2 linked regions of the Drosophila melanogaster genome follow. The protein of the gene in region 1 interacts with the protein of each later gene in a pairwise test. Each region holds a gene or a part of one and is shown in the gene's direction. Other genes may lie near its edges.

Region 1 (4,920 bases):
ATCACTTCAATCCATTTAAGCAATATGGAAGCTCGCGCTTCAGCGATTCCGAGAGCAAACCTTCAGCTATGGGCGGAGGCGGCAAGTTTGCAGATCGTTCTAGGTTTGAGAACAACGTATCGAGCAGCTTTGCCGCACATCGTGGTGGACATGTGGGTTCGTCGCGAGGCGGTGGCCGTAACCGGGGTGGCGGCAGGGACGAAAGGCCACCAAGAGAGGAGCGAGCCTACAGGGAAGACAGGCCTCCGAGGGAAGAAAAACCGCCGAAAGAGGAGAGACCACCGCGAGAGCGAGGAGCGTTCAATGATCGTGCAGCTGGACGTTACAAACCAGAAACGCCAACCGTAAAAACCGCAAATCGCAATGGCTCGGATAACGTATCGTTGAAACCGAATTCCGAGATTAAGCCAGATCATGAAACAACCAATGGGAAGGACCACACTGGCAACCGACGTGGCAGCGAACGAGGCAGCAATCGTGGAGGCTCCAATCGAGCAGAGAACGGCAACGCCAATGGCAACAGACGAAACAAGCCGGCAGCAAGCTTAACTTCGGCGAGTTCTGCAGCGAAATCGACAAATAGTGCTGGCGATGATTTCAACGCCCGTTTGAGTAAGATAACCGAGGAAACAGCTAATCTCAAGGTGAGCAGTGCGCCAAAGCGAGAGAATCGACGTAAGCAAGGAGGACAAGCCAATCGCCTGGCGGGATCGGGCACAGAAACAACGCAGCAGCAGCAGCCAGCACAGTTGCATTCGCAGAAGCCAGAGAAGGCTCAAACCAACCAAAAGCATCACAATCCCAGGCACAATTCGCAGGCGAACTACAGTCAATTGGCGAATGGCTACACTTACGATCCCAGCAAGATCATGGGTTTCCAGAGCAAGGAGGCCAACGAGTTTGCCATGAACCTTCTAAAGAGCCAGGGTGTTACACTGCCCAACGAAAAACAACAGGAGGAGGAACAGCAGGAATCGCCACCCATGTCCTTTGGCCCCGTTTCCGCTCCTGTTTCCCGTGCGCAACCTGCTCCAGTGGCTGTGCCACAGGCTGCGCCACGGGATCAGTTCGGCATGGTGCCAGGCGATGCGTGGATGTGGCAGAAGGGCGACTTGTGCATGGCCAAGTATTGGGACGATGGAAGGGTGAGTTTAGGTCGATAAACTGAAAGTACATTCGTAATTGTAGTAGGACAAAGTATTCAAATTGATCTATTGAACTTAACTTATCATTCCTTCTTTATTTTCCAGTATTATGAGGCTGAGATCACGGGCGTGTCGGAGAAAACTTGCGTGGTCTTCTTTATGGGCTATGGAAACCATGAGGAGGTATTGAAGGTCGACATCCTGCCCATCACCGATGCCCAAAACAGGCCACTGAGCAACTCAGCGCAGCAGCAGCAACCGCATCTGCAGCAACAGCAACCGCATCTACAGCAGCAGCAACATTCACGCTACCGCGGAGATCGTCAGACGCAGCAGCAGCAAGTCTACGTGCCGCCCCACAAACGAGAGCATTGAGACAACATGGTAACAGCCTGTTAACAACGTATTTAAATCAATTAACATGTTTCGAATAAACAACTTTACAGAATATTAAAACTATGAGTACGTATTTTGTAATCTGCTGACTTTCATATAATTTAAAGCGTACTGTTGATTACGTCTTACCTATTAAGTGAATATATCTCCTATAACGTGAAAAATTGAATTAAGCAAAGTTTTATTTAATAATTTAGTAATTAACATTTCTTTGTAAACATTATTCGAATTCGATTAATTCCTGGCGCAGTACTATCGATTGTCCCTGATTTCTGCGCGACATGTTCAGCACTATTTCGCGCCGCTGCTCAGCACTGGTGCATTTCGCGAATTTTCCCTCATACATACATAACTTATTTTTAACATTTTTCGACGTGATGTGCATTTTCTCTCATAGTTTTGTGCTTAACCATGTAAAATAGAATTAGTCCGTAGTGTACAAACAATAGGATTTAGTGCAAAGGTAACGCAAAAAGAGTGCAAAAGCCCGAAATGTACGCACAAATTGGCCAGCAAGTGTACAGCTGGCTGGCTGACTTGCCATAAACGCGCTGGAAAGGGTTCAGCGCAGTAAATTTTGCTTGCTGAGCATGCAAAACGATTAACGAGCCGTATAAATAACTGACTAATCAGATAAAAGTGCAATGCGGTCATATGCATGTATTGTGCGCATATATTTTCATATGATGGCAAAATCATCGTGTAGTACATGCGCCAGTGTTGTCAAGTTCGCATGCGGTGTTGCAAAGCGACGGTTGTCGATATTCGTGCAATGTTTTGTGCCGATTTTATTGAGCAATTAACATGGCATTAAAATAAACGAAATTAAATTATTATTGCCCGTCATTAAATGTGTTGCATGTGTCACTTCTTAAATACTGGAAAATATGATTGATCCCACCATTCATTTCCACATGCGATACTCGGCGAGTGCCTTGCGAAGTTGGCCAACACTGGCGACTGTCTGCTGTTTTCAGCACGTAAAAAGAAAAATGGTAAAATAAATCCTTCTCGATTCTCGGGCTTGGTGCAAATTTACAATTAAATACGCTTCAACCATAACCAGCCACATAAACCGTAGACTAACATCGGAAAATTCGTGAAAAGTGCCTTTGTTTAGCCTGCAAACAACTGAAAAGACAACGTCAGGCAAAGAAAATCCGGCCATGTATATAAAAAAGCCAAGAAAAATCAACATTACGCTCAAAACTTCTGGAATTTGCATTTGATCGCCAACTGCGCTCGCAATTTACTGATAAATAATACCCATTTATTGTCGCATATAAATAAAAACCGCACAACAACAAAACGCACGCATACACGCAGCGAAAAAAGTAGCAGGAAAAATAAAAGAGAGCAAGCACCTCTACCAAAAAAAAAAGCAGAAAAATAATAAGAAACAACTTGAAAATTACTTTTAATTATGCTGGCGAATTTTCTCGTTCTGTGCAAGTGTTTTCCACCGGATTCTCCTCCCCCCGAGATGCCACCCTCCTCCGAGTTTTCCGTCCCCCTTTTGTGCCGGTGCGAGTGTGAAAATTGCTCTTATGAAATTTTGCGTAACCGAATTAGAATGAAAATTGTGTAAATCGAAAAATAAAGACACAGCACTTTGGATTGTTTATCATACATATGTACATATATACATATATATTCTTAGTTGCAGGCGCACTCTATAAATCCGTCTGTATATTTGTACTAAGTACACACAATTGTTTGGGAACCGATAAGAAGCGAGATATAAACAATTTCTGTTTTGGATTTAGCGAACATTACTGGCAGTCAACGAAGATGATTTAATCAATTCTTCAATATCCAAATAATTATCCGTACAAACAAGCCGGTCTTTAAAGTAATCTAAAATGTGAAATCGCCAATAGGAAAATTCAGGACTAGAATACTTAAGATGTGAAATTGTGTGCAAATTTCAAGAACACAACGGTAATTATAAACATTAAAGATTACAACATACATTAATGTATAGTACTATTATAAACCAAAGACAATAAATGTGCTTTATTGAAATAACTAAGTGAAAGTAAACTCTACATGAGAAATAACTACTTAAAAACATAAATACGAAAGAAAACAACACGTGCTCTATAAAACCAAAAATATAACATAATATAACATAACATTAATAACATAACCAAATCTAAAAACATTACACTCAACCAATTCACAATAAAAACATAAATAAGCCGTATATCCGCCATACGAACATGAAAATAAAAACTAAAACCAAACATCTTTCTTTACAGTAAACATAATGCCCGCAAAGTATCTAAAACATTAATGTAAAAACGATAATCGATTTCTTATTATTAACCACACAAAAACTGTTAAATTGTGTAAGTATAAATTCACTGAATAAAATGATCAAGAATACAAGAATACAACTTTAAACTATCCCCACAGAATTACCGTAGAGCTTAGACGAGCGATCAAGACAAGGACCTGAAAACTTCACACATGCATGACTGACCACCCGGAGGAGCCACTAAACACCAGCCAGTAAACGATGGCCGCCGAGAAGGAGATGCAGGCCCACGACATGGTCCGACGACGGAGTTGGGCCCGTGCTGTGGCGCTCTACGACCAGCTGATTGCGCCCAGTCCCGGCCAGGGAAGCGGTGGCCAGAGTGCAGGATCAAGGGCCCAGAAGGACCAGCAGATCGCCTGCCTACTGGGACGATGCGAGTGCCTCCTAGAGCTGGGAAAGTTCGAGGGTTGTCTGGCGGACGCCTACAAGGTGCTCACGCTGCTCTCCGAGCAAACAGAGTGCCTGGCCAGCGTGTCCAGGGCACGCCGATGGCTCGTCCACGCTCTTTTCAAGATGCACAAGTACGGGGTACGTATAATCCGGAGTTTACAAGAGCTTATCCCTGCTCTTGTTTTTAAGGTTTTTCATTTCACTGCACATGCTTATATGATTTACCAAGACTTAAGTTTAAAATTCAATGAGCCTTGTATGAGATTGTAACAATGTGCCAAACATACTGAAATTTACTGGAACTATGCAATCATTACCCTTTTCCAACTTTCTTTCAGGATGCCGAAATCTTCCTGAGCAAGTGGATCAACGAGCTGAGCGGCCAGCAGATATACTCGGACATATCGAAAACCCTTGAGCGGTACAAGTCCATCATTCAGATGATCATGAACGGGCAGCACAAGGCGCAGGCCCTGAAGATCCCACACGCCCGTCTCGAGGACGAGATGGCTATACTGGATACCAAACTGGATCACTGGGCCACCAACAACCTGCCGCTGGACAAGTACAGCAAGCTGCTCAGCAACAAGGGCTTGAAGAAGCGGGAGCAGCAGCAGCAACAGCAGCAGCAACAACAGCAGCAGAATGGCAATGGAATCGGCAGTT
Region 2 (3,844 bases), 1.4 Mb from region 1:
TGAAATCGTATTGGATCTTTATTTCGAGTAACTAGAAGCCCACGAGGTGTGGTTCACGGCACTCCTCGCGCTTGGCATCGAACACCAGGCCGGGTGTGCAGTCCAAGGTGACTCCACGTCCATTCAGGCAGTAGTAGTACGCATCCTGACGCTTCTGGTGGGCAATAAAGTGGGCGCCCTCCGATGGACACTCAATGTCGGCGAGACGTGGCGGAGCTCGGGCAAAGGGCAGGATATTCCGTTGAAGGCTCTCCACCTGAATGAAATGAATAGGTTTTTATGTGGCTCCCAGAAAACTTCAGATAAAAAAAAACACGCACCGTGCAGTTGACTTTCGAGGGGAAATCGCAGCTCTGAGTGCTTGGATTGTACTGCAGGCCACTTGTGCAGTTCTGGACTTGAGGAAGACCATCCATGCAAATGTAGTACTTGTCACAGCGAGCCTTGCTGGGTATGAAAACGATGTCATCCGGATTATTATTCCGGCTGCACAGATTGTCCACGCAGTCGACATACTGCGGATAGTCACAGCGATCGGTCAGGGCGTTGTACTGCAGTCCATCGGAGCACTGACGGATCACCGGAGTGCCGTCGAAGCAGAGAACGTACTTGGTGCACGTGCGATCGTAACAGAACGATGACAAACCACGGTTCTTACAGGATCCAATACACTCGACCTCCATCAGGGGAACACACTCCTGATCCCTCGCATCGAAGTAGTAGTCCGTGGGGCATTCACGGGGTACAGCTATCTCATCTGGGATAGAAACATGATAATGCGGTGAACTAGATATCCACAGGTGCTGGTGACTTACTCATGCACAGGAAGTACTTGCTACAGTTGCCCACCTGGGGAACAAAGAGATTGTTGACCACATTGGAGCAGACATTGACATCGCCATCAGCAGCGCTACAGCTTCCAAGCAGGGCAACCAGTGCCAAAAGGGTCAGGCGACTTATCACTTTGGAAAATAAACCAAGTTAGATCATTTCGGTTCCATAGCTGCAATTCATACTCACTATTCAAGGTTGGTTTCCTGCGGTTACTATCGTCTTACCTCGAAAAACCCCTCCATTTATAGGCAAACTCACTTGCCATTCAATCTGCGATTTGTTTTGATTCCGTGCAAATTTCCAATCTTATCGGATGTGGATGCATGTTTCCATGTGGTAATTGGATTGTTCTTCCTCATTCAAATTCGTCTGGCGGAGATAAGTTCGGTGAACAAGAGCCAATATTCAGGAACATACACCTCTGTCAGCCATTAGGAAACACGTGTATTGATGAGTCACAGTTGATCATCGAACCACGGATCGCTCAAGATCCGATGTAATTGTTACAAGTGTTTGGAATATTTGGATAGGAAGCCCCATTACTTTGAAGATCTAGAAATTATTAAGTTGTAGTTTAGGTTTAAGATTTTCTTCAAGATATATGTATGTATATTTGTTGTACAGGAAGGAAATGCTCCTAGTTAATCCAAATAGAATGTATTATTCTATAAAATTATTTTTTATTTTATTTATTTTTCTTTTCATATCTTAATCGCTAGCGCAGTAATACTTTGAATGTTTAAACCACTCGTGCACTAAAGTGATAAAAAAAAAAACCACACGTGCAAGGAAATTAAAACACTTTTCATCGATATCCACGGGTTCTGGGAACCAGTCTATTTAAAACATTTCGACTATGACTATTATCGCCAAGTTTGGTGGTGACAAATTGAAAGTCGAAATGTTTGCAGAAATAATGGCGTAGTTTTCCTCTAGAGGAGTCGTGTGCCGAAATAACCTGGTTGATAAGTGTAAATTGGCAAAAACTCATTAGGCGATGAAAGAGAGTCGATATAAAATGAATATTTCCTGGCCTGATAGCAAACAGTTGTGGCACACAGTTCAAACTATCCAGGAGTAAGTTGCTCATGCGATGGGATTCCCTATAGTTCATTTACCTAATAAATCGTAATTTCCCAAGTGAAGTGGCTATTAAATGGGCTCCTACTACTATTCATCATTTTGATGGTTCATCGGAACCGGGCCGATGAAGATCTTGTAGTAGCTCCCGGTCCAGACGACGATGGTGAGGGCCTAAATGTTCAGGATAAGGATATTTACGATATGTACGAAAACACCCAGATAAATGTCTGCGGCAATGTGGCGGATGGCGTTTATTTGCCCTATGTTGGAAATTGCTCCAAATATATCGAGTGTGAAAGTGAGTTATATACACTAAAACATCACATAAGTTTTTAAAGCAAATGAAAAATATTTTTAATACATTAAACTATCCATGTATTTAAGACAATACTATTAAGGAAGTAGGCAGCTGCTTGGATTTGGCAAAGGATAATCCAGATATTTGCGATCCGAACAAGTCGTGTGAGCTGGGCTACGATCCTGTTCTCCAAGTGTGCACCTACATGGAGGAGGTACAGTGTCTGCCCACCTGTGAGTCGTTCCGATTGAGCAGCTTCTGCTACGACAACACCTGTACCAAGTACGTGCTTTGCTATTACGGCAAACCCGTGCTACGCCAATGCCACGATGGACTCCAGTACAACAACGCCACGGATCGCTGTGACTTCCCCGAGTATGTGGACTGTGTGGCCAACGACTGTTCCGCCACCTTCCAGCCAGAGGACATCATCTACCTGGGTAGTAAGGCATCATGCAGCAAGTATTACGTCTGTTCCAATGGTCATCCGTGGGAACAGCAGTGTGCTCCTGGCTTGGCCTACAATCCCAGCTGCAAGTGCTGCGACTTTGCCAAGAATGTTAACTGCACGGTGAGTAGAAAAAGTGAAAGTGGATTTTTTTCATTTCAAATATATATTTTTAAATTGATTGTTTTGGATTGGTTTAAAGTACATTTTATACTGCTTCTGGAGTAATTTAATAATTTATTTATTTATACCTAAATATCTCTAGATTGATGCTGTAGCCAGGAATATTCTGCCATATTCCCGAACCCCTCTGCGTCGTGCTGACATTAAGTGTCCCCTTATGGGAACTCACTTCTTCCCACACAAATCTCGCCGAGATGCATATTATTACTGCGTCGAAGGACGTGGAGTCACACTAGACTGCACTCCGGGTCTTTACTACGATCCCAAAGTGGAGGATTGCCGCAGACCTGAATTCGTTGGTGTCTAACTGAGTTTTCATAAATAAATAATTACAACCTGTTGCTTTTGATTTTCGATTTTATGAAATGATAAGAGATTTTGTGAATGTAAGAAGTGATACAAATTGTTTATTCTGAAATGTTTTTTAAAAGAGCACATAACATTTTTAGTGTCGTTATTTTAAAGATTTATTAAAGGGACCAATCATTTGGTGTAAGACTCTCTTATCATCCCAAGAAAGTTCCACTAGTAAGAAATGGAAAAAAATAAATTCAATTAATTTACCAATAAAATGTTTGCTACAAAACGTTACAATTTGAATTGGATGGCCCGTTCACAATGGTGTTTTGTAAACGGCGCATGTGCTGTGCAGCCACAGTGTTTATTTTCCAAAAAAGAGAGAAAGAGTGCTCCACAGAGCACCCCATTCATGCTCTTCTGGTTGCAAACGCCAACCACCCGCTCGCCCACCGAGTGGCACGGCCACATATACAGAAAGCAAAAACAAAACGCTGTCTGTTGGCAAAAAGGAAAAAGAGGAAAACCATCCGTGGGGGCGGTGGGAAGTGAAAGAGCGCTCTGCGAAACTCATGAAAGTGAAAACGAGCGCGACGCTGGCCCAGCTGCATTCACACATTCAGTTGGCTGCGAGTCCTTGCGCCGTTCGAATCGCAGGCGAATCACCCATCGTCCAACACACAACCTCACAACCACCCACC

Evidence for each region. Proteins that work in one complex are often made in the same cells at the same time.
Region 2: the proteins of Helz (region 1) and CG10154 interact in a two-hybrid assay, tested with the Drosophila melanogaster proteins (one large-scale study listed by BioGRID).

Annotation. Positions count from the first base shown.
Region 1 is NT_037436.4:14,788,069-14,792,988, forward strand, and holds the start of Helz (helicase with zinc finger), read left to right. Parts: upstream 1-1,866; 5' UTR 1,867-2,004; intron 2,005-2,482; exon of another isoform or gene 2,483-2,536; intron 2,537-3,368; exon of another isoform or gene 3,369-3,482; intron 3,483-3,802; 5' UTR 3,803-3,892; intron 3,893-3,959; 5' UTR 3,960-4,062; coding exon 4,063-4,392; intron 4,393-4,592; coding exon 4,593-4,920. Other genes in the region: Tdrd3 (tudor domain containing 3), read left to right, coding at 1-1,145, 1,251-1,520.
Region 2 is NT_037436.4:13,435,163-13,439,006, reverse strand, and holds CG10154 (uncharacterized protein), read left to right. Parts: upstream 1-1,870; 5' UTR 1,871-1,910; coding exon 1,911-1,911; intron 1,912-1,975; coding exon 1,976-2,215; intron 2,216-2,301; coding exon 2,302-2,786; intron 2,787-2,928; coding exon 2,929-3,153; 3' UTR 3,154-3,327; downstream 3,328-3,844. Other genes in the region: CG10725 (uncharacterized protein), read right to left, coding at 32-256, 321-757, 816-962, 1,021-1,021.